7 linked regions of the Macaca mulatta genome follow. The protein of the gene in region 4 interacts with the protein of the main gene of each other region in a pairwise test. Links are inferred from orthologs where the notes say so. Each region holds a gene or a part of one and is shown on either strand. Other genes may lie near its edges. The genes, in order: NXF1, FXR2, BYSL, LDOC1, LENG1, RAB29 and TASOR2.

Region 1 (4,440 bases), on a different chromosome or scaffold from region 4:
TCATCATTTCTGGGTGGGAGCGTCGAAGGGCCTAGGCAGCGAGTGGAGTGAGCCCACTGCCCAGTACCAGAACTGAAAGGGTTGGGCTAATGGCTGTGCCAGGTATCACTGCTGAGGCAGGCTATTTTGGGCTCTGACACACAGCTGCCTCTAGACAGGGGAGAACCAAGTGTTGCAACACTTGATTAGCATGGAAACTTCCTTTCACACAGAAGCAGGATCCCAGAGGGGGTCCCTGATTGGTGGCAGCTTCCAAGACCATCTCAAACAGTGTTTGGACCTGTTTCATCTGTATCCTCCAACTATTTGGCCGTAATTCTTCCTTGAGCTAAGCAAGGCAGAAGCTCTGCCTGCTGCCAGGAGTGGAAGGTGAAGAATTTGTTCCCAACTCCAGTTGAGGCTTTTGATTCCCTCAAAGCACTTCACCAAATCAAAGCCAGTCACAGAGAATGGAGGAAACACCTGCCCAAAATACCCACCGTCCAGAGAGATTAATGTGCTTTGTTCTTCCTGACCAAGACTCGCAACCACATTCTGAGGACGCTCCAGTGCCCCTGTCTCATACATTCCAAAGGAAGCTGAAGCTATAGAGACAACAATCAATCAGGGGCTGATGGTGGTGCTTTTGGGGGTCTAGGAGAGCCCAAGGCCCTGATATTTTAAAATGTCCTCCTCCTCGGCATCTCCAGCAAGTTGCCACTGCTGGTGAGCTTCACTGTCTGCCCCGTTGACACGATGGGTTTCTAACAGGGGACGCCATTGATGGAAGGTCTGTGAAGACAATGCTCGGCAAACCCCTGACAGATGTCGTCTCATTTGACTCAGCAACTCAGGGTGGGGTGGGGGAAATTCACAGAATAGAAATTCATTTATTTCACAAATACATGTTGAATTTTTACTATGTGCCAGGCATAGTACCTGCCGAGTCAAGCCCTCGAGGGAAAAAAAGCCTTTAGTCAACGTTCGAGCTCACATTCTAATTCTCAACTTCGTGATTTGTTAATCCATCTTATAGGCGAAGAAAGCGAGGCATAGACAAGGAGCCGAGCTGACACACTGGCTAGATGCGGGTAGGGGTCTGAGCCATCACTCCCACCCGGAGGCGCGGTCTCCATTCCTCGGAAGCCCTTGGTACGGCCCCGTTCCCCGCTGAGTTCTGGGCTGCAGCGGCAGCACTCTGCTCTAGCACTAACTCAAGCTGCCAGGGCAGCGTCAGCGGACAGATGAAAACATGCGGGGACCTGCTGGCTACCAGCCGGGGTTCCGCAAGCTCAGGTCTTGGGCGGGGCGCGGAGGGTCAGGCCCCGCCCCTCGCACGACGGCCTTAAGTGTGCGCACGCGCAGGGGGTCGCGCTTTCTCCGGGCGGCGACACCGCCTCCAGCCTGGGACGTCAGCGGCGCGCGACGTGCTTTGCTATATAAATGCGGTGGCGCCCGGCGTAGGGACACTTCGGTCCTGAGTGCTTGGGCGTTCGGTCGTTTGCCGGCGTAGCGGCCAGCGCTTGAGCCCGCCCTTGCTCTTCGCTGTGGCATGGCGGACGAGGGGAAGTCGTACAGCGGTCAGTGCTGGTCCTCGGGTCGGGAACCGGCTATCTGGGGCGCGGGTGGGCGGCGCCGGCCTAGGCCTCAGCCTCCGGGGCGTGAGGCCGCCAGGGGCCCGACGTCCGCGGGGAGCGGCGCGCGGGGGGTCGGGGGCACTCGAGGTGGATTACCGAGTTGTTGACTCCTGGATTCCTCCTGGAATCCTGGTGTTGGGGGACCTGCGGCTCGGAGCGGGTGGCTCGGGGGTAGGGGGACGGGATTCCTTTGAACTTTGTGGGTGGTTGATGCCTGTCAGTTCGGTTTGGCGGCCTGACTCTTCCTTTAATGTGAGTTAGTGCCCTACTCATGGGCTGCCCTGGTGCCCTATTTTTTACTGCGTCCAGTCGGTCTTGAACCCTCGGGCCTGGGCTTTGGCTTAATATTCGAGACTTACACATCAACTGGATGTTCCAGTCTGAACACTACACTGGGTGTTAGTTCTTTGTAGTAGTTAGGAGTGCATGGTGGAGGTTGAAACCGTGAATTTAAAACTCTCCTCTTCCACCCCTTTAAAGTGGAATAACAACAGTATTTCTTAAGAGTTGGGGGGGAAGTAGGGGGGAAAATGAGATCATTCCTATCAAGTGCCTGAAGCATAGTGGCCGGTACTGGAGAACAGTTCTCAATGAATGTTAGCTGCGCCTTCTGTGTTCTTTTTTCCTAGGGTCATTTGTTGAGATTCATTGTTTACAGAGTGCTCGGTATTAGGCAGATCTCTTTTGGGAGTTAGGGACCCTTTTTAAGACGCTAGTCCTGCACAGCATGAATCAGATCATATTCCTGGAGAGCATTCCAGGGTCCCTGGTTAAGCACCCTAGCCTGGCACTACCACTAGAGCCTGAGTCTAGAAATTGTCTCCTGAGTTAAAGGGCATTTCTGGCCAAGGAATCGAAGAGCTCCTCAGAAAACTTCAAAGTGGCAATTTGAGAACAAGGAGAATTTTTAGAGGATCCTTAAACTGATCATATTTGTAACTGGCATCTGTACTGTATAGACAAAGTATTGAGTGGCAGATTTCAGGTGGCTTTCAGAGGTCTGATTTGTGTTCACTTACACTTTGGGGTCTCACATTTATACATTCTGCTTCTAATTCCAGTTTCTACTTCATTTTTCAAAAGCCCTGCACAGATTTCCAATAACTTTTCCTTGATGCTGACCTCCCACAGAGAGAGTTCTTTCCTGTGGACAGGCAGCGGAGTTTGCATGGAGATGGCCTGTGTAGTTAGTATGTATCTCTTCCAGTAGTTCAGAGTAGAAACTATGATTGCCACACCAAGCCGGACCAGTTACTTCTAATTTGTGTTCCTGTTTCTAACTCCAGAACACGATGATGAACGCGTTAATTTCCCTCAAAGAAAGAAAAAAGGCCGGGGTCCCTTCCGGTGGAAATATGGTGAAGGAAACCGTAGGTCTGGAAGAGGCGGTTCTGGTATTCGGTCTTCCCGCCTGGAGGAAGATGATGGAGATGTGGCAATGAGTGATGCCCAGGATGGTCCCCGAGTACGATAGTAAGTGACCAGTTGGTCTGGTTTGAATTTAGTGGCTCATGAGATTATATGGCCCTTTTACTGTCCATGTCATTTTCCTTCCCACCTGTTATAGTGAGAAATGCCAGGACTAGCTTAGCGATTGAACAGTCTTAGTTTAGTCCCGCCAACACAGTGCAGGAAGGTCTTTGAGAAGACTTTCCTAGCATTTGTGGTCATTTTATCCTCTGTTTACCCACAGCAACCCCTATACCACCCGACCTAACCGTCGGGGTGATACTTGGCATGATCGAGATCGCATTCATGTTACTGTGCGGAGAGACAGAGCTCCTCCAGAGAGAGGAGGGGCTGGCACCAGCCAGGATGGGACCTCAAAGAACTGGTTCAAGATTACAGTGAGTACTTTGAGCAAGTAGATGGTACAGTAGAGATCGGAGGCCACGCTCAGAGTAGAGATGTTTAATTTTATTCCACAAAAATTATTCTTTTTTTTTTTTTCGAGACGGAGTCTCGCTCTGTCGCCTAGGCTGGAATGCAGTGGCCGGATCTCAGCTCACTGCAAGCTCCGCCTCCGGGGTTCACGCCATTCTCCTGCCTCAGCCTCCCGAGTAGCTGGGACTACAGGCACCTGCCACCACGCCCGGCTAGTTTTTTTATTTTTTAGTAGAGACGGGGTTTCACCGGGTTAGCCAGGATGGTCTGGATCTCCTGACCTCGTGATCCGCCCGTCTCGGCCTCCCAAAGTGCTGGGATTACAGGCTTGAGCCACCGCGCCCGGCCTTTTTTTTTTTTTTTTTTTAATGGAATCTTGCTCTGTCATCCAGGCTGGAGTGCGGTGGCGTGATCTCGGCTCACTGCATCCTCCGCCTCCTGGGTTCAAGCGATTCTTCTGCCTCAGCCTCCTGAGTAGCTGGGACTACAGACACCCACCACCACGCCCAGCTAATTTTTATATTTTTAGTAGAGACAAGGTTTCACTGTATTGGCCAAGCTGGTCTTGAACTGCTGACTTCGTGATCCGCCCGCCTTGGCCTCCCAAAGTGCTGGGATTATAGGCATGAGCCAGCGCGCCCAGCCCAAAAATTATTCTTGTTAGCTGATTACGCCATAGTCAAGTATCTGTCTCTTCTCCTAGGAATCAGTATCTTCCAACACCTTAGAGCAGGTTCAGAGAAGGGGTGGAAGAGAAATACGAAAACTGTGGTTGTGGAAGGAGTAATTCCTCTGGATGTCTTCATTTGGCTCAGGCTGAGTATGGGGCTTGGAGTCCATGAAGTTCTCTGAGGGACAGGCAAGGTGTAAATAATATCTTGAAACTTTTAGAATAAAAAAAATTGATTTTTTTTTTTTTTTTTTTGAGACGGAGTCTCGC
Region 2 (4,228 bases), on a different chromosome or scaffold from region 4:
CGTGTTAGCCAGGATGGTCTCGATCTCCTGACGTCGTGATCCACCCGTCTCGGCCTCCCAAAGTGCTGGCATTACAGGCTTGAGCCACCGCGCCCGGTCTTATTCTACTATTCTTAAAACTTTCTTTCGTTTCTTTCTTTCTTTCTTTTTTTTTTTTTTTTTTTTTTTTTTGAGACGGAGTCTTGCTCTGTCGCCCAGGCTGGAGTGCAATGGCGCGATCTCGGCTCTCTGTAACTTCTACCTCCCAGGTTCAAGTGATTCTCCTGCCTCAGCCTCCCGAGTATCTGGGATTACAGGCGCGTGCTACCACGCCCGACTAATTTTTGTGTTTTATTAGATGCGGGGGTGGGGTGGTTCACCATATTGGCCACGCTGGTCTCGAACTCCTGACCTCAGGTGATCCGAGGACCTCAGGTGATCCACCCGCCTTGGCCTCCCAGAGTGCTGGCATTACAGGCGTGAGCCACCGCTCCTGGCCAAAACTTTCATTGTATCACAATCTCTTCAAGGCAAGAGCTATGACTTAAATCTACTACAGCACAGTTACAAATTCTTAAAAGATAGGCTATGCATGCGCGCAGACAGTAAAGCTCAGCGCGTGCGCACCGAGCACCTTTTTCCTTGCGGCGACTTCTCTTCTTTTTTTTTTTGGAGCGTGCGCACCAAGAAAGACAAAGGTGGGGAAAGTGACCAAGCAGTCGTTCAGGCGCATGCCCATCCCTAACTTGTCCGAGCCCGGTGGGGCAGGCGGCGGCGGCGTGGGTGTGGCCTGAGCGCTGTGTGACAGTGCGGCCGCCGCCCAATCGGACTGAGCGAGCCCGGCCCCTCCCTCCCTCTGATTGGTTGGTTCTCAGGGTTGTGGGGCGCGGAAAGGAAGAGACGGGGCTGCTGGGCGGTGGGGCGGTGGAGAAAGAAGGCTAATTTTGTTCTGCGCAAGCGCGAGAAAGCGACCAGGAGGGGGCGTGAGAGAGTGAAAGGGAATGTGGAAGCCCCGATGCGCTGGCTAGCGCTAGCTGGGGCTCTAACCTTGACGCCTGCGCCGTGGCCCTCGGGGCCCCGCGCGCAGCGGGCGGGTGCCCGGTGCGCCTGCGCAGTAGGAGGCGGTGGCAGGGGGAGGTGGAGGCTGTGGAGCGGCAGCGGCAGCAGCGGGTCCCGGGACTGAGGCAGCAGCGGGGGCGGCGGCAGGCGGAAGCTGAGGTGACGAAGGCAGCGGCGGCGGCGGCCGTTTCCCTCACGGTGGCGGAGACCAAGGCGGCGGCGGCGGACGGGGAGCGGCCCGGCCCCGGCCCCCTGCTCGTTGGCTGTGGCAGGGCCGCCGTGGGGCCGGCCCGGCTCCCGCCCCCCGCGGCTCCCCCTCCGGCTCCTCCTCCGGGGAGACGCCGGGGGCCTGGCCCGGCCCGCACTCAGACTGCTGCTGCAGCCGCCGCCGGGGGAGTCGGAGGCGGTGGCGGCGCCATGGGCGGCCTGGCCTCTGGGGGGGATGTGGAGCCGGGACTGCCCGTCGAGGTGCGCGGCTCCAACGGGGCCTTCTACAAGGTGAGACGGCGCGCCGACTGGGGACGCCGGTCCTTAGCCCCCTCCCCCGGCCGGAGCAGGAACGCGTGGGGCGGGATCGAGCTTCTGGAGCTGAGTCCTGGCCCTTAGAATCTTAGACCCTTGCTCCCACCCGCAGCCTTCCCTGAGAGACCTCTTGGAGTGAACCTGTTCCTTTTATTTTTGACCCCTTTAATGCACCTGCTTCTACCCCCATCTCAGGGAGAATGAACTTAAGGCCATTATTGTCCCTGGCTTGGCGCTCCCCGCTCCCCAGGAGAGACCCCTTTACCCAGCTTCTAATTGACTGTTTCCGTTGTCTGATGGAAGACATACCTTAGACCTTAATCACATCTTCCCCACGGTCCAGGCACATGGAGAATTGTCTTTCTTCTGCACGGTCCCCTTGGGAAGGCCCCCTCTGTCCCATATCGGATCCTTTCATCTTCCTCAGAGAGGCCTCTGCCTACTGACTCTGGAACACTCACCCCACTTTCAGCTTATATTCCGGTTCCCAAGCCAAGGAGAAATGGTCAGATCCATTTACGACGTTTGGCATCTTTGACCTCAGGAACCCTGGGTTGGATCAGTCAAGTTGCTTCTCAGCCAGCCATAAGGTGGCATCTTTCGCAAGTCTTTCACCCCACCACACCTTGATCTCAAGGCCCACTGGTTACCATTCTACTCAGAATGGATTTGAGGTCTCACTTAGACCTCAGATACCTTCAGGTCATTCTTAGAGTTTCTTCGTCTTGAGGCATGTGAGCTTCATAGTCATGATCTCTAAAAGGATCTCTAAAAGGAAGCTCATGGGGTTCCCTTCTGTTTTTCTTAAGATTTCCACTTCTTGAAGACTCTTGGCCAACTATCCCAGTTCGGGAATCTGACAACCTTTTTTGGAAGAAGGGATCATCTTTCAAAGACCTTTCCTTATTTGACCTCCCCCTTTGCCCAGGATTTGGTTCCTTAGAACTCCTTATAATACCACCTTCCTTATCTGCTCTGAATCCATTTTCTAGGACATTTTTTTCCCATTTGGATTAAGCCAGAGAGAACCCTTTCTTGCCTCCCAAGAGTTTTTCTTTGACTGTTGCTATTCTGAACCTCTTTTGGATTTGATGCCTGGAATTGTCCCAGAGACTCTCCTGATTTCTGTCTCATTCTTTGATTTCACCTTGGGGAGCTGTAGAAGAGATACCTTCCCATGGCATTACTTGTTAAGAGTAGATCCCCCTTCCCCCTTTCCTTCTGTTCCCCTCAGGCCTTTCCCCCCCACAGTAGCCCTCTCTAGTTTCTCATGCCCTTGGAAGTGTCTTTCTTTGACTCCTTCCCTAAGTCATATTTTCTGTAACTGTAGAGGGTCTTGTAATTTCCCTTGGGTGGTTTCTGCCTCTACTTCAGTTGCTAAGTTCATTGTAGTCTTTTTTTTTTTTTGAGACGGAGTCTGGCTCTGTCACCCAGGCTGGAGTGCAGTGGCACGATCTGGGCTCACTGCAAGCTCCGCCTCCCAGGTTTACACCATTCTCCTGTCTCAGCCTCCTGAGTAGCTGGGACTACAGGCACACACCACCACGCCCGGCTAGTTTTTTGTATTTTTAGTAGAGACGAGGTTTCACCGTGTTAGCCAGGATGGTCTTGATCTCCTGACCTTGTGATCTGCCCGCCTCAGCCTCCCAAAGTGCTGGGATTACAGGCGTGAGCCACCGCGCCATTGTAGTCATTTTTTACTTACTCTTCATACTTACCCATTTTTGCCTTACTTCCCTCATCAGATTTCTTTCTGTGCGGTGACTTTGGGTACCCATGTCTAACTTACTGTTTCAATTCAAGTTTTTGGCTTTTTCTCCTAATACTTCTGTATTCCTGTGTAATCCCCAGGGATCACCTAATTCCCTGTCTAGCTGAAGGAAGCTCCCTGCTGATCTCTTTTGTCATTTTCTGCATACTTGCCTAACTCTTGGGACTTTTTCTTCTAGCCTGCCTCCATAGCATTTCTGTTTTTTTTGGCAAAAGTCTCTAATTCCTTTCTGCTTTTGATAGAGCACATTTGTCTCTCATATCCTTTTCCCCAAACTTGTACTACCTTTGTTGAAATACGCTTCCTAAAGTGGCCCTCCCTGTTTCCCTCGGTATCTTTTCCTTCATCTGGGTCCTTACCACCCCAAAATTCTGAGTTCCAAGAAAAGTCATTCTTAAGTTGAGTCCAAGATCAAGATATGATGTTTGCTTTGTTCTAGGAAGCACAGGAGCCCTGCACAGCTGGGAAAGATTGGTATCCAGTTCAAATGAACTGTATGAGATGGCTGGGAAGGGACACGTTTTCTGTTCTACATATAAGTGTCCAGCAGAAAGTCTCTCTGAATCTTTTCCCTTTCTCCTGTGCGCTGTGGGCAATGATAGACTTGAGTACATCGGGACCAGGATACTCTGATTCAGAGAGTAGAGTCTGGGGTTGAGCTGAAAGCCAGGTAATGTGGTAATGTGGATCTGGGCAGGTTAGCATTTTCTGCCCCGTTCCTGAGTTAAAAACCACAAATCCCTAAATTCAGGCTAATCTTCCACTCTCAGTACCCTATAGATACTTATCCGTTTTGACCTTGCTGCTGATTTAATATTCATGACTCAGCAAACTTGGGATGGGTCAGGGAGTATTTACACTGCTTCTGGAAATGTACATTGGGAAGGTCCCTTTCTC
Region 3 (3,726 bases), on a different chromosome or scaffold from region 4:
GGTCTGGGGATTTGGGATAATGGGTGCTTGTAGAAAGTTCCCACAGGAAAACAAGTTCCCTGGCAGACTTACGATTCCCTACTTTAGGAAAGGGCCCTGGAGTTGCTAGTTGTAGGGGACCACCTTGACAAAACTGGCCCATCCTCAGCAGACCACTGTGAGTGGGAATGACCCAGCCTCAGAAAACATTGTATCCTTCTGTCCATTTATTGTACAACTGCCCAGTTGCCAGGGAAACAGCTCCAGGCCCGTTTTATACTTCTGGGGAGAGCCATCCTATTGCATCTGGTTTTGGTATTCTTGGTTTTTTTAGTGGTAAGCTCAACTTCCTTGGACAAGTGTTCATATCCTAAGCTTCATTTAAGCCAGGGTTTTTCAACCTCAGCATTATTGACATTTTGGGCTGGGTAATTTTATATGTGTGTGGAGGCTATCCTGTGCAGTGTAGGATGTTTAGTAGATATCTCTGATCTCTACCTTCTAGGCTCCAGTAGCAACCTTCCCTCTAATTATGAAAACCAAAAATGACATCAAACGTTGCTAAATGTCCTCTGGGAGGCAAGACTGCTCCCAGTTAGGACCACTAATTTATTCCCATCTATAATAAATGCTGGCTCCAAAACATGCAGGCATTTAGACTGCCTGTGGTCAAACTCCTGAGCCCATAAATTTTGGCCGTGGGGAGTGGAGTCTAGGATAAGGGTCCTCAACCAGTTCATTCTGACCCTGTGATACTAACATAATGGTGTCCCTGATACTTTAGACTGTTTGGGGTTAATGCATCTCTCATTGCTAATTGTACTGTAAAAGGACAAGGAGGCTGATAAATTCTGTGGCAACTTATTTGAAAATGCAGAATGAAGAAATAAAAATGAGCTCCTCTCCCAGATTGATGCCTAACAGTTGAAATACGTGTCACAAAATACGTACTCGGGCCTGTCCCACCAGAGAGCCTCTCAGGTTCTCATTCAGCACCTCATAACTCCTACTTCACTGATAACGCTGACAAATTTAGCAGAATGCTTTTCCAGCTTGCAGTAAATAGAATAGACAAGCTCCTTGAAGTAATCAGAACTTCTGGCAGTTGTAAGAAATGATAGCTGGCGTCTTCAGAAAGCAAGCCTAGATCCACATGAATTCAACAATCAGAGGCCATTTAGTTTGGGGGCACATTATAAGGTACTATAAAGCATCTTAACTTAAGACTTTCAAAAACCTGAGTTTGACTCTTAACCCCACCTGACGGCTGTGAGGCCCAGTTGCCATGTCTGCGTAAGTTTCCATGTCCTATAAGTGTTGCACTGACTCTGGGACTGAAAAGTCCCAGACTCAGTGCCTGGCGTTGAGTAGGACCTCAGAAAAGAGGAGCAGTTTGTTTTTTGTTTTGTTTTGTGACAGGGTCTCACTCTGTAACCCACACTGGAGGGCAGTGGTGTGATCTCAGCTCACTGCAACCTCAACCTCTCGAGTAGCTGGGATTACAGGCGCACACCACCACGCCTGGCTACTTTTTGTTTTATTAGTAGAGACGGGGTTTCACCATGTTGGCCAGGCTGGTCTCAAACTCCTGACCTCACGTGATTCACCTCCCTCAGCCTCACAAAGTACAGAGATTATAAACACGAGCCACTGCACCCAACTGAGGAGCTTTAAATACATGTCAGTCTGGGCATGGTGGCCCAGACCTGTAATCTCAGCACTTTGGGATCCCAAGGCAGGAGCCCAGGAGTGTGAGACCAGCCTGGGCAACATGGGGAGACCCCATCTCTACAAAAGAATAAAATACGGCCGGGCGCGGTGGCTCAAGCCTGTAATCCCAGCACTTTGGGAGGCCGAGACGGGCGGATCACGAGGTCAGGAGATCGAGACCATCCTGGCTAACCCGGTGAAACCCCGTCTCTACTAAAAAATACAAAAAACTAGCCGGGCGAGGTGGCGGGCGCCTGCAGTCCCAGCTACTCGGGAGGCTGAGGCAGGAGAATGGCGTAAACCCGGGAGGCGGAGCTTGCAGTGAGCTGAGATCCGGCCACTGCACTCCAGCCTGGGTGACAGAGCGAGACTCCGTCTCAAAAAAAAAAAAAAAAAAAATACATGTCAGTCTGGGCATGGTGGCCCAGACCTGTAATCTCAGCACTTTGGGATCCCAAGGCAGGAGCCCAGGAGTGTGAGACCAGCCTGGGCAACATGGGGAGACCCCATCTCTACAAAAGAATAAAATACGGCCGGGCGCGGTGGCTCAAGCCTGTAATCCCAGCACTTTGGGAGGCCGAGACGGGCGGATCACGAGGTCAGGAGTTCGAGACCATCCTGCCTAACCCGGTGAAACCCCGTCTCTACTAAAAAGTACAAAAAAAAAAAACTAGCCGGGCGAGGTGGCGGGCGCCTGTAGTCCCGGCTACTCTGGAGGCTGAGGCAGGAGAATGGCGTAAAAACCCAGGAGGCAGAGCTTGCAGTGAGCTGAGATCCGGCCACTGCACTCCAGCCTGGGCGACACAGCGAGACTCCGTCTCAAAAAAAAAAAAAAAAAAAAAGAATAAAATACTAGCTGGGCCTTGTGCTATGTGCCTGTGGTCCCAGCTACTTGAGAGACTGAGGCAGGAAGATCGCTTGAGCCAGAGAGATAGAGGCTGCAGTGAGCCGTGATGGTACCACTGCATGCCAACCTGGGCAACAGAGCTAGACTCTGTCTCAAAAAAAAATAAATAAATACACTTCAGCAGCCTCTGAAGGCACTGGTATTATATGACAGCTCAAGGTGATAGTAATGCTGAATCATTAAGATAATGTTTGATATACCCAACAATACTCTGTTTAAGGAAGCTGAAAAGAACATAATCAGTTTTAGAAATACTTCCATAGATACACTGCTGTGTACTGACCGTTCCAAGTAATGAACAGACATTAACTTATTTAATCCTTCCATTAATCTTTTAAGGTGGGTACCGTTATTATCCCTATTTTACAAATGAGGAAACAGAGGCATAGAGAGGTAAAGTAACATGCCCAAGATCATACAGGGAGTGGGTAAGCCAGGATTTGAACCTGGGCAGACCGATTTCAGAATTGAGATTCATAATAACCTCCATACAACTGCCAGCTTTGTCCTAAATGGAATGACTTTCAGTTCCTTTGCACCCTGCAGTGATTCTGTCTGTGGTGGATGAATGGGCACAGAGAGGGAACTCTGAGCTGCGCATCCCAGCAGGATCGCAGTATGTCAGTGCTCACAAGGGACTGTGGGGAATCTGGAGCTTCCTGGACAGTGACCACAGTGCTCCTTCCTTCCTCTCTCCCCTCCCCTTGGCACTTCCCCTCTTAGGCGCACCTTGGCTGACATCATCATGGAGAAGCTGACTGAGAAGCAGACAGAGGTTGAGACAGTCATGTCAGAGGTGTCGGGCTTCCCTATGCCCCAGCTGGACCCCCGGGTCCTAGAAGTCTACAGGGGGGTCCGGGAGGTAAGAGCTGAGAGGGGAGCCACAGTGGAAGACCCCTTTGGGGGCTGTGGGCTCCCGCCACAGGCTTTTGCCTTTTGCCTGCATCTCATACTAAAGAAGTCATGGCAGTAGAAAACAGACCTAAGAGGCAGAGTGTGTGGTTTCAGATTCCTGCTCTGCCTGTAAATGACTTGGCAACCTTGGGTCAGTTACTGGAACTCTCACTGGTCATCTGTAAAACGAGCATAATAATGGCACCTCCTTAAAGGGTTATTGTGGGGATGAAATG
Region 4 (3,451 bases):
ACATCTATGAGTGGAAATTCTAAGGATGTCTGCCCAAGGAGGATGAAATGTTTGTTAAGATCAGGGTATATCTTTATGGATGCACTTGCCCAGGATCTGGGACTTAATGTTAGCTAGAGCACCTGTAAGTGACATGTTGGCTATTTGGAGTTTGAAAGTGACAATGTACTATGTTGGCTCTCTGGAGCCTGAACTCAACAGCTGCATATAGGCAATAAGGATTAAGGGGCAGAACTTCCCTGGCACAATATTAAGGAATCCAAAAGCTCAGAGAATTAGGAGCAATACATATATATGTCCTGGTTTATGCCTGTTGTTACGGTCTAATTATTAATACTGCCCTCTTTGCCATCTGCTCAGCCAACCCTTACCCATGCCACCCTGGAGGACCCAGAGAACACACCCTTTGCCAGGGCTTTAAGAAATGCGTTGGTGAAGGAAGCATCAGAACCCTGACAAAGCCCTGAGGTAGCTGTCCCCAGCAGCCTGGAGTTGACAGCAGGGATTCCTAGGATTGGTTGTATTCCCTGATTTCCATGGGAATAACGGTAGTCACAGTGACAGTTCTAGAGGTCAGTGATAGCACTTAACTATTAAAAGACAATCATTTCGTTTTTTAGTGCTTGATATTTATTGAAAATAATGCCAATGCTTTTTCCAGGTAGTATTGAGGAGCTGGGCTGAGTGCTTGTTTGTTTTGTTTTTAGTACTATTTGTCCAAATGCATACATCTGTGGGACTGCTGCAATTTTGAAAGAAAAATGACAGCTGTGTAAAACCAGTGCATAGGAAAAAAGAAATATCAACAATTTGGCTGTCAGGCACACCGCGCCCCTGCAGCAATCTGGTATGGCAGGGGAGGACACTCGGAGTAGGTAGAAAACTAACCAGGCTGAATGACTGGCCTCTTCAGGGGTTGGTGAGCTGTCCAAATCAATGTCCGAAGAGGCAGAGCCAACTCTGGCATTTTCCAGGTTGGTCCTGATCTCGAAAGGCGGTAGTCTGTAGGTGGGATGTGGTGAGTGGATGTGAAGTGGCAGCATAGTTCTCTGGGCAGATGTAAGCCTGGCAGCAGGGCAGGTGGCAGCAGCAGGGCTATGGGTGGTCTGCGCAGTTTGTAACAGGGGCCTGGCCAATAGCTGGGGTTCAGGACACAGTTCAGATTAGCAGGGGAGGGATCCCCGGGATGGCCAGGGTAGATGACACTTCCAAGCACTTCCGAGTGAGTGAGGCTCCAGCCCCAACCCCAGCAGCAGGTAACTGGAGCACTATTCCTGGAACAAAGACAAGCACTACGGAGAAATGAAGAAAGAGCAGACGGGCGCGGGTAGGGAAGGGGACCGGAGGGCAAGGGGGAGAGCACTGGCTCCTGGCGGGGTGAGGGCTGCGGGGAGGGGGTGACGGCGTGCAGGGCCCTCCCCCCGAGGCCCGAGGGCCTAGTAATTATCCTCTTCGTCCTCGTCGTCGTCGTCTTCGTCGTCATCCCAGCCAAAGCACTGTTTCATCTCATCGAGGAAGGCTCGGTAATCACCTAGGATGGGGCTATCCATCTCGATGTAGGGCACCACCCACTCCTCGGCTTCCCCGGTGAGGAGACTGATTAGGAATGCCACCTTCATGGCGTCGTTGCAGAATCGGTTCTCGTTCACGAGCATGTAAGACGCTGTCTGCACGATAAACTCAGGGAGCCGGGAGCTCTCGCCATTAAACGTTTCGGGGAAGGGCACCGGGCAGCTCGGCGGACGTACCTGGCGCAGCAGGCTGGCCCTCTCGCACACCAGCAGCCGCAGCTGTTCCATGAGCTGGCTGTTCTCGATGGTCAGGGCGCGGTGCCGCATCAGGAGCGCGTGCAGCAGCAGCACCAGCTCATCCACCATTGCGAACAGCCTGGAAGGACAGGGCTCGGCTCGGTTCGGCTCGGCCAAGGTGCGCACGGAGGCCTCGCAGGAAGTGCGTGTCCACGGAGACGCTCGATGGCCAGGGGCTGGGGGCGGGGGGCGGTGCGCGCCGGGGTCCGGGAGGCTACGCAAGCTCCGCCCACGAGGCCATTCGGACGGATGGTGCGCCGGCGCGGCGCGGGAGGGGCGTGGCCAGACTGGCGGCCGCGGCTGCGTGGGGGCGTGGCCGGGATGGGAAGGGTTTAGACAAAGAGGGCGTGGCCAGGAAAAGGATGCATTGGGTCGCTGAACCACCGGCTTGTGGTAGGTCTCTAGGCGGGCAGTTAAAGGCTGGGGTAGGCTCCCCTAGCTCCTGGTTGTGGGGCCTGCGTTAGCAGAGGACCTGGCGAGCGCTGAGTTTGGTCTCAGAGAAGGCAAATTTGTTCAAACTGAAAGGATTAGCCACCCTTCTACCTAGGCAACTCTCACAACTCAGTTGTTCCTTCGTGGGTCTGTGGCCACTAGATTCTCTTGGCGTGATGTTTTATTAACACATTTTCTTTCTTGTTTAAATCTCACTCAGAGAAGTATTGACACTGCTGGCTGCACTGTGGGACTCACACTTCCTTTTAGGATCATGAAGACCTTCAGGGGTTCCTGCCTTTCATGAAAAAGGCAGTATTTAAACAGTGACTTCTTTAGTAGGGGAATAATATGGCATACTCCCTTAAAACAAACAAACAAAAAAAAACAAACCTAAGTAGCAGGATATAAAGAAGTTTTGCAAAATCAGCATCCAATAATCAATTGCAGGCATCCCACATATCTTTGATTCTCTATTTCTTGTCCTGCTATTAGTGCCTTTGGCCACTGGGTTTTATTCTGTACTTAAAAATGAACTGTTAAGATGTTTGTGTTTTTAAATAATTTTGTTTTTCTACTTTAAACGGATCCCTAGAGCCGACAGGAATTGTTGGCTCTGCTTTCAAATATATTGCCAATTCAGTCATGACTTGTCATTTCTACCACTGCCACCCTGATCCCCAGCCTTTCTCACCCAGACTGCTGCAACTAATCACTTAGCTTTCACTCTTTTCTTCCTATAGTATATTCTCCATAGAGTAGCCACAGGAATCGGGCGCGGTGGCTCACTCCTGTAATCCTAGCACTTTGGGTGGCCAAGGAGGGCGGATCACGAGTCAGGAGATCGAGATCATCCTGGCTAACAGGGTGAAACCCTGTCTCTACTAAAAATACAAAATATTAGCGGGGCGTGGTGGCAGGTGCCTGTAGTTCCAGCTACTCAGGAGGCTAAGGCAGGAGAATCGCTTGAACCCGGGAGGCGGAGGTGGCAGTGAGCCGAGATAGCGCCAGCGCACTCCTCCAGCCTTGGTTACCAAGCGAGACTCCATCTCTAAAAAAAAAAACAAAAACAAACAAACAAACAAACAAAAAACAGTTAGATCCCTTCACGCCCCTGCTCAAAATCCTCCAGTAGTTTCACCTCAGAATAAAGAGCAAAGTTGCAGCCAAGGCCTACAAGGCCCCTCCTTCTATCCTGTGCCTCTTCCCAT
Region 5 (4,422 bases), on a different chromosome or scaffold from region 4:
CTCTTCTCCACCTGCTCTCCGGCTGCCCGCACCTTCCGGGCCTCCACGGCGAATTTCTTTTTCCCCTTGGTTCTTCTCCTGGGTCTGGCCATCTCCAGCGTTCCCCTGCTTTACAGCATCTTCCTGTAAGTGCGAGAGGTTCCCGCCTCTCTCCCTCCCTCTCCCCCCATTCAGTGTTCAGACTCCTGGCTCTACTTGAACCCAGCCTGTCTTGACTTCAGGATCCCGCCTTCTAAGCCGTGTGGTCCATTCCGGGGGCAGTCGTCCATCTGGGCCCAGATCCCTGAGTCTATTTCCAGCCTCCCTGAGACCACCCAGAACTTCCTCTTCTTCCTGGGGACCCAGGCTTTTGCTGCGCCCCTTCTGCTGATCTCCAGGTGAGGTGGACCAGACTTCTGGGTCTGGGTTTGAATGCGTGTGATCTGGGGGCCACCACCTGCGTCCAAGAGAGGAAAGGCTTGGGGGTGGGAGCAGGCAATGTACTGAGTCTGAGGGAGGAGGCCTAGGCTCCTGGACTGCTGGGTCCGAAGGAGGAGGTGGGCGGGACTTAGGACTCCTGGATCTGAACGCGGAGGTGCTGGGAGACTGAACTCCTTGAGCCTGGACGAGGAGGGACTTAGGGGTCCACATCCCTGACTTCGAAGAGCGTGTCAGGAGTGGCTTCCGTTCCTGTCTCCTCCAGCATCCTGATGGCGTACACTGTGGCTCGGGCTAACTCCTACGGACGCCTCATCTCTGAGCTCAAACGTCAGAGGGAGACGGTGAGCCAGGCGGGTCCCTGAGAGGGCCCCCGGGGAACACGGAGAGGGGCTGGGGAAGAGGGCTGTCACACCTCCACCTCTCTTTGCCGCAGGAGGCGCAGAATAAAGTCTTCCTGGCACGGCGCGCTGTGGCGCTGACCTCCACCGAACCGGCTCTTTGACCCCCGCAGCTCACGCCCCACTTTCAGACCCCAGGCCCATTGTAAGCCTAGGTCACAACATCTGTAAACTAGGAGAACTGGAGAAGACTCCACGCCCTTCCAGCTTTGATATCTGGAGATTTCCAGGGCCCCTCGCCGCCACGTCCCTGACTCTCGGGTGATCTTTCTTGTATCAATAAATACAGCCGAGGTTGCTGAGCGCGCTTTGAAATCTGCGTCCTGAAGGTGGGGGCAGGGCTACCGCAGGGCAGGAGCCAATCAAATGTATGGGCATGTTTGTCGGTGCGGAGCGCACTTCCGCAAGGAGACTTGACGGTCATGTCGACCAATCGACGGCCGCATGTGGTAGCATCGGGGCGGGCCAACTTATGATTGGTTCAGATCTGTGATAAGAGGCGGTTGCTAGGGGATACCACGAGCCGAACGCCTAACATTCGCTGTGAAAAGGACGTCTCAGCCAATCACCTGTCGTTACAGGCCAGGGGGCCGTACCAACTAATTCGGAACCAATCTGCGGTCGAAGTAGGGACAAGAGGAAGGGGGGCATCCTCTCGCCAATCGGAAGTGCAAAGAGGCGGGCGTGCCAGTCCCTGGACAGCTACGACGCCATGAATATCTTGCCCAAGAAGAGCTGGCACGTCCGGAATAAGGACAATGTCGCCCGCGTGCGGCGTGACGAGGCCCAGGCCCGGGAGGAGGAGAAGGAGCGTGAGCGGAGGGCGCTGCTGGCTCAGCAAGAGGTAAGCTCGGAGGCCGGCCGGGCTGACCGCCGGAGCCCAGCGCGCACGCGCCGCGGTTGGGGGCCGGAAGCGGAGGCGTTGCGCAGGCTCAGTGTGCCCCGTGTGAAATTCGGGACCAGGCGCCGATCCCGTTTTCGAGGACGTTGCTCTGCAAACCTTGTGGCCACTTCCACGAAACCTCCCTTGATCTCGCCTTCGTCTTAGTTTCCCCCCACTGATGTATTTCACATGGCTGGAACAGTGTCTAGCACAAAAGAGCAGCTTAAAAACATTTAATGAATACATGAGCGCTTGGACAGTTCAAGGAAATTCGGATCACGTTTTAGTTTGCCTGCGCAGTTTATTTATTGAGCACCTATTGTATGCTAACTACATGCAGAGCGCCTGACTTGCGGAATCCCCAGGAGGCACTGTTCGTTCTTAGAGGGGCACTGTCATCTCCGTTGCACGGAGTGAGATGGCTTCAGTGAGGGGAAGGCACATTTAAGGAGAGGGGGACAGCCAGGCTCCACGCCATCGGGCGAGCCCTTTCCTGCACCGCCCCCTAGACACATACACACAAACACGGGCTTTCTGTATGGCTCCTTAAATCTGTTTGGTGTACACCCAACTTTCAGTTCCTTAGCTAGTCTGATCCTCCACAGTGGGTGGGAGGTAGTCTGGGTTTTTAGAATCTCAGTAGGCTGCTGAGCGCTGTTTGAAATCTGCGTCCCGAAGGCGGGGGACAGGGCTTCAGCAGTCGACTTGGGGTAGTGACTTGGAGCCATGGCTAGAATTCAGATCGTCTGGCCTAATGCAGTTTGGTCTACCTTTATGGCTGTTTTAATTGTCTCACTTGAGGTTAGGAACCCCTTTGGTTTAGGCCAGGGACCTCCTTCCAGCCATCCTTGATGACCCGTGGTTTACGATTTGAAAGGCAGTTTACAAAACCCAGGCGTTGCCTCATCTGCCTACCCTCACCCGCAGCTAGGACAGGTGCCTCTTTTAGGCGTCTAGTGCTCCCTTTCTTATAACCCCAGCACCCTGGACTGCCATTTTCTGTGGTGGGCACCAGACTCACAGTTCTTGAATCACCTCTAGGTTCTGAATGCCCTGCCTATAACTTTCTCCCCAGGCCCGTACAGAATTCCTACGAAAGAAAGCCAGACATCAGAACTCACTGCCTGAGCTTGAAGCAGCAGAGGCGGGAGCCCCAAGTTCTGGCCCTGTGGACCTGTTTCGGGAGCTGCTGGAGGAAGGGAAAGGAGTGATCAGAGGCAATAAAGAGTACGAGGAAGAAAAGCGACAGGAGAAAGTAAGCTGGCCTCACCCACTTCATTAGAGGAGCCATGAATCGAGTTGGGGGGAGAGGGCACTTTAGCCACTGCTTGTGATCAAGGTCAAACGAGAACGAACACACAGAATTTAGAACCATACCAAAGCATGACACTTAAGAAGTGTTGCCATCTGGGCACCCACAGGGCTTGGAGGTAGATGCTAGAGGTCCCCAGCTGCTAGGCAAACTGCTCAGTTCTCAAAACTGGAGGGGTCTGAAACCTTGATAGGCTTTTAAAAATGTAAATCAGCCAGCTGTGGCTCATGCCTGTAATCCCAGCACTTTGGGAGGCTGAGGCGGGTGGATCACCTGAGGTCAGGAGTTCAAGACCAGCCTGGTCAACATGGTATCTCTAAAAATACAAAAAAATAAGCCAAGTGTGGTGGTGCACGCCTGTAATCCAGCTACTTGGAGGCTGAAGCAGGAGAATCGCTTGACCTGGGAGGTGGAAGTTGCAGTGAGCTGAGATTGCGCCACTGCACTCCAGCCCAGGTGACAGAGCGAGACCCCATCTCAAAAAAAAAAAGAGAAAAAAAAAAAAAGGCGAATCATTCGCCTCTTGCCTTTTGGCTAAGATCAAGTGTAAAAAGTATGTCTGGTCGTGCATGGTGGCTCACACCTGTAATCCCAGCACATTGGGAGGCCAAGGTGGATGGATCACCTGAGGTCAGGAGTTCAAGACCAGCCTGGCCAAACATGGCAAAACCCCGTCTGTACTAAAAATACAAAAATTAGCCGGGCATGGTGGTGCGTGCCTGTAATCCCAGCTACTAGGGGGGCTGAGGCAGGAGGATTGCTTGAACCTGGGAGGCAGAGGTTGCAGTGAGCCGAGATGGTGCCACTACACTCGAGCCTGGGCAACAGAGCGAGACTGCATCTCAAAAAAAAACAGGTACATGAGCTCTTGTCACTCACCTGCTGTCTCTGGACTTGCTGACCCCACCCATGGCTCCTCTGCTTTGCTTGATCCCTTCAGGCTTCTCTTCAAGTCTCTCTGCAAAGATGCCTGCCTCTGAACACTCAAGTGGCTCCACTTGTCCCCTCCTTCCCCTGCTGTTACCTGCCACTGTCCCCCCACGGGGAACTTGGCCTCTGTTGGTGTCTTCCATCCCCAGCACCTGGTACAACTGGTTCATGACAAGCCTTAGGTACCTGTTTGCTTAGATTCCTATGTCAGGGAGACACACCTGACACCTTGAAAGATTATATCCCATCTCTTGTATTTCCTGGCCCCCTCAGGAGAGGCAAGAGAAAGCTCTGGGCATCCTGACGTACCTGGGCCAGAGTGCAGCGGAGGCACAGACTCAACCCCCTTGGTACCAGCTACCCCCAGAGCGAGGGGGGCCCCCTCCTGGCCCAGCCCCAGATGAGAAGATCAAGAGCCGTCTGGACCCTCTTCGGGAGATGCAGAAGCATCTGGGGAAGAAGAGACGGCACAGCGGTGA
Region 6 (4,175 bases), on a different chromosome or scaffold from region 4:
AATCCACTGAAAATATATGTACATTATACCTTAATAAAATTTCACTGTAAAAAATGAATAGGGATAAACTCAAATCAAATAGGCAGTGACAACCCGATGGACACACAACTCGAATCCCATGTTTATCTTTAAGCCCTCAATTCACTGAGATGAGTCCACACGTGTGTATTAAGTGTGAGATGGATGGTTCATACTCACTCTCCAAAGGGGTTTCCAGCTTTTACTCTCCTGTCAAGCTCATCTGTTTGCTACTACTTGTCTCCAAGACTGGGGGTGGGAGTAACTATGAAAACAACTCTCATTCTCAGGTTAAACAGTTTCTGGGAGATTTAGGGGGTTTTCTCAGGGAAGGGGTGATGGGGGAGAAGGGGGAAATGAGACAAGTGTGGTTGTTTCTGTATCTTCCACATTCAATTTCACTGCTGGTTTCTAATCAAATTGTATTATGAAAACAACACACCCTGGGGAACTCTACATCCACCATAAGGTTGCAGGTATTATCTTGGGCAAGAATGGAATAAACGGAAAAGGTCCCAGAGGAGTCCCAAGAAGACACTGTGTGGATGTTGCTGAAGAGTCCTGCTGGAATCTACCACAAAGTCTGCAGATGCTGAGACTCCTTAAGGCTAAGTATTCCATGGGGAAAAGCTTTTGGCTAAGGAGAGAAACACAGTAATTTCTGAGGTTTGGAAATATTATCTTTCACATCTGTAACAGGAATCAAAACTAAGGGAAATTTAGACTAAACACTGAAAAAAAAATTAGCCAGAGTCAATTATATTCTTTGCTAAAGGAAAACTACAGCAATTGTTAAAAATTAACTATTAATAGAAGGCCAATTTTAACCCAAATCCGTGAAATAGGGACCCTTATATTATTTAGGAGTGGAAGGGCAGAGAGGTCAGGATAGTGTGTCTGAAACTTTGAACCTTTAATTTTGCCAGACTTTAATGTTTTGTTCCTTTGTTTTTGAGACAGGGTCTCACTCTGTTGCCCAGGCTACAGTGCAGTGAGTGGTGCGAACGGGGCTTACTGAAGCTTCGACCTCCTGAGTTCAAGCAATCCTCTAGTCTGAGTTTCCGGAGTAGCTGGAACCACGGCTACTTTTTTCTTTAATTTTTGTAGAGGTGGGGTCTTGCCATGTTTCCAATGGCTGCTCTCGAACTCCTGGGCTCAAGCAATCCTCCTGCCTCAGCCTCCTAAAGTGCTGGGATTGCAAGTATGAACCACTGCACTGGGCCCTACTGGGGGTTCTTAAGGAGAATGTTTTAATTGCAATGTGAATGCTTAATTTCTTTTTAAACTTCCGTATGAACAGGAGCACACATTTTCACTTTTTCCATTGGTACGTTTTTCTCCCCTTAAAACAAGTTCTTTTAAGAGAGAAAATTTTAAGTTACTCTCCCCCATCACCAGCTCTTCCTAAATACCTTCTAATTAACAATAAGGCATTTCTACCTCTGAAAAAATAGTTGAGTAAAAAAGCCATACCCGGGAAAGAAAGGAATGAACTCAGTGTTCTCTTCCTCCCTACCTTCTTCAGTTTGAGGAAAAAGTGGTGGGAAGATAGGTCAGAGAAGTGGTATATTTCACATTCTTCGAAGAATTCCTTGGTTACTTTTATTTAAGCAATCAACGGACAAAAACACAGCTCATCAGCCCTCATGGGCATCTGACTGCGTAGCCAAGGGGCTCGTTTGGGGATTTTGTGTCTTCCATCCCACCCACAGCCCCACAACAAAGCTAGAGTCCTTCAGACCAGTTCCGCTTCCTGCGTTCTCCCACTGAAGCCAGGTTAAACACCTTGCGGTTCCTTCCTCAACAGAGGTGCAGAACTACAGCCCCAGCCGGCACCTAACCAGGAGGCCCCCAGAGGATCTCAGCTGCTTCTGCTGATTGGAGAGATGCCAGACAGCTGAAAGGCTGGAGACTTGAGTTCACAGTGCGCCTGCAATAAACAGCAATTGCTTATCCTCATCCTCCCTTCCCTATTTCTCATCTTCACGCCTTTGTTCTTACCGTTCTCCTGGCAGTGGGGTCAGGTTGGGAAAAATCTAACTGGGGAAACTCAAGAGAGGCGTGTAAACGAAACACCCGGCAATTACACCATCTAGGTTCCCAGACAGTACTTCCTGACCCGAAGAAGGACCCAACAACCGACAGCAAATCCGGATCCCACTTGGGTCCCCAGCTCGAGTCCGCGGTCGAGGCCTCCTCCTCCCCCTCCCCCGAAAGACGTCTCACCTCCCACCGTGGACTTGTAGTGTTTGCTGAAGCTGTCCTGGGAATATCGCTGCACCAGCGACGTCTTGCCCACTGCGGCGTCCCCCACCACCAGAACTTTGAACAGGTGGTCGCGGCTGCCCATGGCTAGCGGGGCGTGCGTTTTAGGGAGGCGGGAAGTGGGGGAGTCGCTTGTTTTAACCCCTTTGGCTCCGGACCCTCTTCAAACTGAAGTGGGCATTCCCACCCACCGCCTGTGTGGGCTGCTCTGACGAGAAAGCAAAAAAGGAAACTTTGCACTCAACCTATACGTGCTTCCTCCCCCGGCGGCCGCAACCTGGGTGGGGCGCAGGGCGCAAGCTCCGAGCCCCCGGCTGTTCGCACCTTCCCCACCCCCTCCTGGCCTGACTGCCGAGAAACGGGACCAGGCGCCTCGGAACCTCCCCACCAGGACTTTCCCGGAGCGGCTGCGAGTCAGTGACTGAATCCCAGTCAGCTCATTACACCACTGGGGCCAGATGATGAGGACCCTCCCCTTGCAGCACATACCAAATTGTCAGGAAGGAGCAGCCGGTACCTTTCTATTCCCTAGACGTCGTCCCGCGCCTCTCTCTAGCCTTCCTCCGCCAGCGTCACGTGCAGGGTTGCCTGGAGCACTACATTCCCCAGCTTTCCTCGCGGTAAAGAGAACCAGCCGAGTGCGGAGGCTCACCCGCGAAGCCTCCTGGGAAATGTAGTGTATTCTTTTTTTCGTTTTAAGCCAACCTACACAAAGTTTCAAGGCTTCAAAACTCCTTCAACAGTTCGGAATCTTATTCTGAAACAATTCTGGGTCAGTTAAGATCACTTAAGAGGAGATTTGTGCAACGTGATCTCACTGGCCTGAATCCATCCCCACATAGTCTTCTCCTGTCTTTAAAGGTTTAACGGAGTTAAGATTAAAACTTATTTCGTTAGTAAAAGTCCAAGCCTCATCCATAATGCTCCAAGTGAAGTCCATTTCCTATTCCTTCAAATAGATAGACAAGCCCAGGACTTTGTGAAATGACTCATATTTTCTGTATGAACTTGCCCAATACCAGGCAAGTTCAGGAAAACTTGACCCAAGAGACCATTCTTTGGAAAAAACATATGCCAAAAGTTACAGCATTTAATATCCAGCAATAACAATAAAGATAGACAGAAAACAAGAGACAGTTCCCCATTCATACTTCTGCAATGCCTATTCTAACCATACTACTCATGTATCACTTGAGGTAGAGGCTAATTGAAATACACTGGGAATCCTTCTCGATTCATTGTGGCTGTTGTTAATAGATAATCATAAAACTAGTGTTTGGCAAATAATTTTAATTTTTCAGCCTGAAACTTTACTGACCTGCCTGTCACTTAGGTAGGAGTTGGCAGGACATGAGCTCAATGGCAAGCAAAGAGAGCTCCATTTTCTAGACTTTTTCTAGAAACAGAAGAAAAGAACCAGCAGGACCATGGGAAAACAGCCCAGGACCAGACACTATGAAATCTTACCTAGGTCTCTTGATAGAGAGGCTATCACTTATGTTTTGTGGGGAAAGAACATCAGCGTGGTTCACAATATATTTTGCCCAGAATGTTTGTTACTCAGGTACAGGAGGTTAGGCCAGGCTACTCATCTTTAAGGATCCAATTTTCTCTGTTCCTATTCGTTTTGACATATTTGACCACTCCTTGACATTTGTTTCCCTTATGCCTTCTATGACACTGCTCTTTCTTTGTCATCCCCCTACTTCTCCGATGATTATCCTTTTCTTTCAGGTTTTTCGCCATCCCATTTCCCTCTAAGTATTTCCTGAAGCTCTATTCTTGGTCTTTGAGTCAATGATTCTATAAACTCTTCAATGAATTGTCCCTGGTGTCAAAGATCTGTCTTCACTTTATTGTTCTTTATCTCTGATCAGTGATACTCAGCTGCC
Region 7 (3,726 bases), on a different chromosome or scaffold from region 4:
CCCATTACACAGATGACAAAACTAAAGCACAGAGAAGTAAAGAAATTGCCTAAGGTCACATAGAAAATTGTCAAGCCAAGATTCCAGTCTAGAAAACCTAAACGTTAACTATGTATGTGCTTTTTTTCCCTAAAGATAGGGTTCAGCAGTTCCATCCTGTTCTCAAAGAATTACGTAAAATCCAGTTAAGAATCACCACCTTAGAATAAGAAAATATAGTTTAATCAGGGAGGTTTAGATTAAAACGTATATACATGCTAGTTTCTTATAAAATACCATTTGTTGTGGTAATATATAATTAACTATCATCAGTACTAATTTTAGCAATGACTTTGGCAAGCCTGACTGTTCAAATCAATGATTCCTAACAATCTCCTTAGTATGTACTTACATAGGTTTTGGTTTTTTGTCATCTCATTGAATGCTGTGCCTGTACTTGAAAGGCACACAAGTATGCTATCACACTCCCTCCACCAGTTGGCACACCGGAATGTGAAGGGGATTCTGGCATGATAGCCACTAGAAACCAAGAGCATGTTGCTGCTAGTCATGTGTTTAGTTGAGCACTCTTTCTGAATTATCAGACTTTATTTTAGAAGCATTACACTTTACCTGCAGTAAAAATATATCGAAATATAAATATATCAAGATTGTCACGATTTGCATTTCACTAAGAGTACAGTCATGGTGAGATTTAGGACTGAGGCTAAACGTTACCAGCCACATGATTGGGAGGGCCATTAAAGTTCTCAGAAGGACACTGACTATCAAGACTTTTCTAATACTTTGTTCTCTTAAAACTCTGGTGTCTCAGCCCCACGCTGCTGACTCTGACTCTGTTTTTTTGTTTTGTTTTGGGAAGAAGTCTTGACTCATCCCCCAGGCTGAAGCGCAGTGGCACTATCTTGGCTCACTGCAACCTCTGCCTCCCGGGTTCAGCTGATTAAATCACTCCTGCCTCAGCCTCCCAAGTAGCTGGGATTTCAGGCGCCTGCCACCACACCTGGCTAATTTTTGTATTTTTAGTAGAGACGGGGTTTCACCATGTTGGCCAGGCTGGTCTCGAACTCATGACCTCAGGTGATCTGCCCACCTCGGCCTCCCAAAGTGCTGAGATTACAGGACTGAGATTTTGTTTTGTTTTGAGATGGTGTCTCTGTCGCCCAGGCTGGAATGCAGTGGTGTGATCTCGGCTCACTGCAGCCTCTGCCTTCCGGGCTCATGTGATTCTCCTGCCTCAGCCTCCCAAGTAGCTGGGACTACAGGTATGCACCACCACACCCAGCTAATTTTTGTATTTTTAGTAGAGACGGGGTTTTCCCATGTTGGCCAGGCTGGTCTGGAACTCCTGACCTCAGGCAATCCACCTGCCTCGGCCTCCCAAAGTGCTGGGATTACAGGCGTGAGCCACTGCCTCGGCCAGAAACTGTTTGTTTGTTTTGTTTTGTTTTGTTTTGTTTTGTTTGAGACAGAATCTCATGAGCCACTGCCCCGGCCAGAGATGGGTTTGTTGGTTTGGTTTGGTTTTTTTTGAGACTGTAGCCTCTGCCTCCCGGGTTCAAGTGACTCTCTGCCTCAGCCTCCCGAGTAGCTGGGATTATAGGCGCATGACACCACACCTGGGTAATTTTTATATTTTTAATAGAGACTAGGCTTCACCATGTTGGCCAGGCTGGTCTTGAACTTCTGGCCTAAAGTGACCCGCCTGCCACAGCCTGCCAAAGTTCTGAGATTACAGGTGTGAGAGGCCATGCCCTACCTAAGACAGAAATGTTTTTAACAAGAGATTTTGAACACAGTTCCTGATTTCCAACATGTACGCTTCAAGACGTGGCAGGCAGTTTATAAGCATGGTGTTTCCAGCATTGCAGAGGTATGATCAGTTGTATCATCAGTTCATTTTATCATATGCTGGACAAGACCATGCTTGAGGCTTTAAATAAAACAAAAAAACAAACACCAACCTGTTTATGAGGTTATCAGAACTGTCCTGAGATGATAGCTCTGCTAATGTTTAACCTAAATCCTGCTTGCTACTGTTTAAATCAGCTCCTTTTAGTTCAGTTTATGAATGCAAACCACATTGATAAGTTTTCAATTGCCCTGTACAATAGGAGGTATTAAGATGAGAAAGAAAGTATCCCCAGTTTTATGCAAAAAAAGATAGCTAAGGGATGAGGGGCCTTTATTTACTAGAATCAATGTATTCTGAGTACAGGGGATAGTGATTAATTTACTGTGTTGCCTCATGGGAAAGTTTCAGATGATAGTGTACTTATGGTCTAATTGAAAACGGATGTTAAAAATGTTATTCTTTGCTTTTTAAAAATTATCTTTTAGGCTGGGCACGGTGGCTCACACCTGTAACCCAGCACTTTGGGAGACTGAGGTGGGTGGATCACTTGAGGTCAGGAGTTTGAGTCCAGCCTGGCCAACATGGCTAAACCTCATCTCTACTGAAAATACAAAAATTAGCTGGGTATGATGGCATGCACCTGTAATCCCAGCTACTCAGGAGGCTGAGGCAGAGAGTCACTTGAACCCGGGAGGCAGAGGTTGCAGTGAGCCGAGATCACTCCACTGTACTCCAGCCTGGGTGATAAAGCAAGACCCTGTCTTAAAAAAAATAAAAATAAAAATAATCTAATTTATTAAAAACAAAATTGAATGCTTTTTCTCTAGTGCTATACTTCTGGATTAAGTGGTGCTAAGTAGCAAACAGGCTGCATTTAAAGTCTTAAATTGTCAGTAGTCTAGCTATTTTTCTTCCAAAAAGCTCATTTAAAAAGAGAAAAAAGCTTCAAAGTTTAGAAAGTTTTGGAGTTCTCCTCTGTGTATGGTTTTAAAGAAAACAAATCCCATTGGGGGTATTTTAAGCCTGCCTTTAAAAGAGGGATTTGCTTGATTTGTACCCTGCGATATTTTCAGCTAGAAAATTCAAAAGAACATTCACAAACTAAAATTAATTTTTATCTTTTCTGTGCTTCACATGTACATATAATTGTATAAAAAACATTTTATGTGACTGATTTTTTTTGTTTTTTTACTTTAGCCATTTCAGGTAATGGGGGAAGAAGCTAAACAAGAATCATTAGATAAACTGGAGACTTCTAATCTTGCGCTTTCTGGTGTTGGAAGTACACGAACTAATGGACCCTCTGTTCCTAATGAAGAAGAAATTGTTCAGCCACTGGATAGCACAAGAGTGGCTTCTTACAGTGGCACTGTTACTCAAACCACATTCACCAGGACTTATGATGGGACTGGTAGTCAGCCAGTGATATGTCAGAGCTCTGTGTGTAGCACCCTTGAAAACAAAGTGGATGTTCCTGATGCAGCAATGCAAACAAAAACAGGTACTTTACAGGACCTTATCCAACATGGCAGCCCCATAAACAATGAATGTCACCCTTCCTTGGAAAGAAAGGATGATAATATGGAGTGTGCAATGATTAATCCAGAACCAGTTACTCTCATATTTGAAAAAAATACACATGTACCATTACAGACAGAAGCTGTAAATACAGCTGATGAACCTACAACCTTTAATAAGGAGTTGATTAAGCAAGTATCACCTGCTGCAAGCCTTAGACATCCTGTATCCACCTCGGAAAAGGCACAAACACAAGGCCTGAGGGACATTTCCTCTCTAGTAGTTGCAGGACAGAAAGGCTCTAAGTACCTTTGTGCCTCCTCAGTAGGTAGAGAGACGCTTGATAAAGAAGT

The links.
Region 1: the proteins of LDOC1 (region 4) and NXF1 interact in binary tests that used the Homo sapiens proteins (3 or more experiments, as listed by UniProt). The two-hybrid records come from large-scale screens. The link is inferred for Macaca mulatta from reciprocal best matches to the Homo sapiens genes LDOC1 and NXF1.
Region 2: the proteins of LDOC1 (region 4) and FXR2 interact in binary tests that used the Homo sapiens proteins (3 or more experiments, as listed by UniProt). The two-hybrid records come from large-scale screens. The link is inferred for Macaca mulatta from reciprocal best matches to the Homo sapiens genes LDOC1 and FXR2.
Region 3: the proteins of LDOC1 (region 4) and BYSL interact in binary tests that used the Homo sapiens proteins (3 or more experiments, as listed by UniProt). The two-hybrid records come from large-scale screens. The link is inferred for Macaca mulatta from reciprocal best matches to the Homo sapiens genes LDOC1 and BYSL.
Region 5: the proteins of LDOC1 (region 4) and LENG1 interact in binary tests that used the Homo sapiens proteins (3 or more experiments, as listed by UniProt). The two-hybrid records come from large-scale screens. The link is inferred for Macaca mulatta from reciprocal best matches to the Homo sapiens genes LDOC1 and LENG1.
Region 6: the proteins of LDOC1 (region 4) and RAB29 interact in binary tests that used the Homo sapiens proteins (3 or more experiments, as listed by UniProt). The two-hybrid records come from large-scale screens. The link is inferred for Macaca mulatta from reciprocal best matches to the Homo sapiens genes LDOC1 and RAB29.
Region 7: the proteins of LDOC1 (region 4) and TASOR2 interact in binary tests that used the Homo sapiens proteins (3 or more experiments, as listed by UniProt). The two-hybrid records come from large-scale screens. The link is inferred for Macaca mulatta from reciprocal best matches to the Homo sapiens genes LDOC1 and TASOR2.

Annotation. Positions count from the first base shown.
Region 1 is NC_133419.1:11,250,335-11,254,774, forward strand, and holds the start of NXF1 (nuclear RNA export factor 1), read left to right. Parts: upstream 1-1,445; 5' UTR 1,446-1,531; coding exon 1,532-1,559; intron 1,560-2,902; coding exon 2,903-3,089; exon of another isoform or gene 3,090-3,120; intron 3,121-3,274; exon of another isoform or gene 3,275-3,309; coding exon 3,310-3,463; intron 3,464-4,440.
Region 2 is NC_133421.1:9,102,777-9,107,004, reverse strand, and holds the start of FXR2 (RNA-binding protein FXR2), read left to right. Parts: upstream 1-1,305; 5' UTR 1,306-1,455; coding exon 1,456-1,536; intron 1,537-1,869; exon of another isoform or gene 1,870-1,917; intron 1,918-4,228. UniProt on the Homo sapiens protein: mRNA-binding protein that acts as a regulator of mRNAs translation and/or stability, and which is required for adult hippocampal neurogenesis. Specifically binds to AU-rich elements (AREs) in the 3'-UTR of target mRNAs.
Region 3 is NC_133409.1:140,243,392-140,247,117, reverse strand, and holds part of BYSL (bystin), read left to right. Parts: intron 1-3,319; coding exon 3,320-3,458; intron 3,459-3,726. UniProt on the Homo sapiens protein: Required for processing of 20S pre-rRNA precursor and biogenesis of 40S ribosomal subunits. May be required for trophinin-dependent regulation of cell adhesion during implantation of human embryos.
Region 4 is NC_133426.1:147,689,365-147,692,815, reverse strand, and holds LDOC1 (protein LDOC1), read right to left. Parts: upstream 1,972-3,451; 5' UTR 1,878-1,971; coding exon 1,437-1,877; 3' UTR 622-1,436; downstream 1-621. UniProt on the Homo sapiens protein: May have an important role in the development and/or progression of some cancers.
Region 5 is NC_133424.1:66,391,173-66,395,594, reverse strand, and holds the start of LENG1 (leukocyte receptor cluster member 1), read left to right. Parts: upstream 1-1,507; 5' UTR 1,508-1,530; coding exon 1,531-1,662; intron 1,663-2,776; coding exon 2,777-2,956; intron 2,957-4,216; coding exon 4,217-4,422. Other genes in the region: voltage-gated chloride channel TMC4, read left to right, coding at 1-125, 222-377, 683-761, 854-922.
Region 6 is NC_133406.1:63,533,523-63,537,697, forward strand, and holds the start of RAB29 (ras-related protein Rab-7L1), read right to left. Parts: upstream 2,803-4,175; 5' UTR 2,773-2,802; exon of another isoform or gene 2,672-2,772; intron 2,492-2,671; exon of another isoform or gene 2,487-2,491; 5' UTR 2,369-2,486; coding exon 2,245-2,368; intron 1,949-2,244; exon of another isoform or gene 1,760-1,948; intron 45-1,759; exon of another isoform or gene 7-44; coding exon 1-6. UniProt on the Homo sapiens protein: The small GTPases Rab are key regulators in vesicle trafficking. Essential for maintaining the integrity of the endosome-trans-Golgi network structure.
Region 7 is NC_133414.1:7,303,381-7,307,106, forward strand, and holds part of TASOR2 (protein TASOR 2), read left to right. Parts: intron 1-3,052; coding exon 3,053-3,726.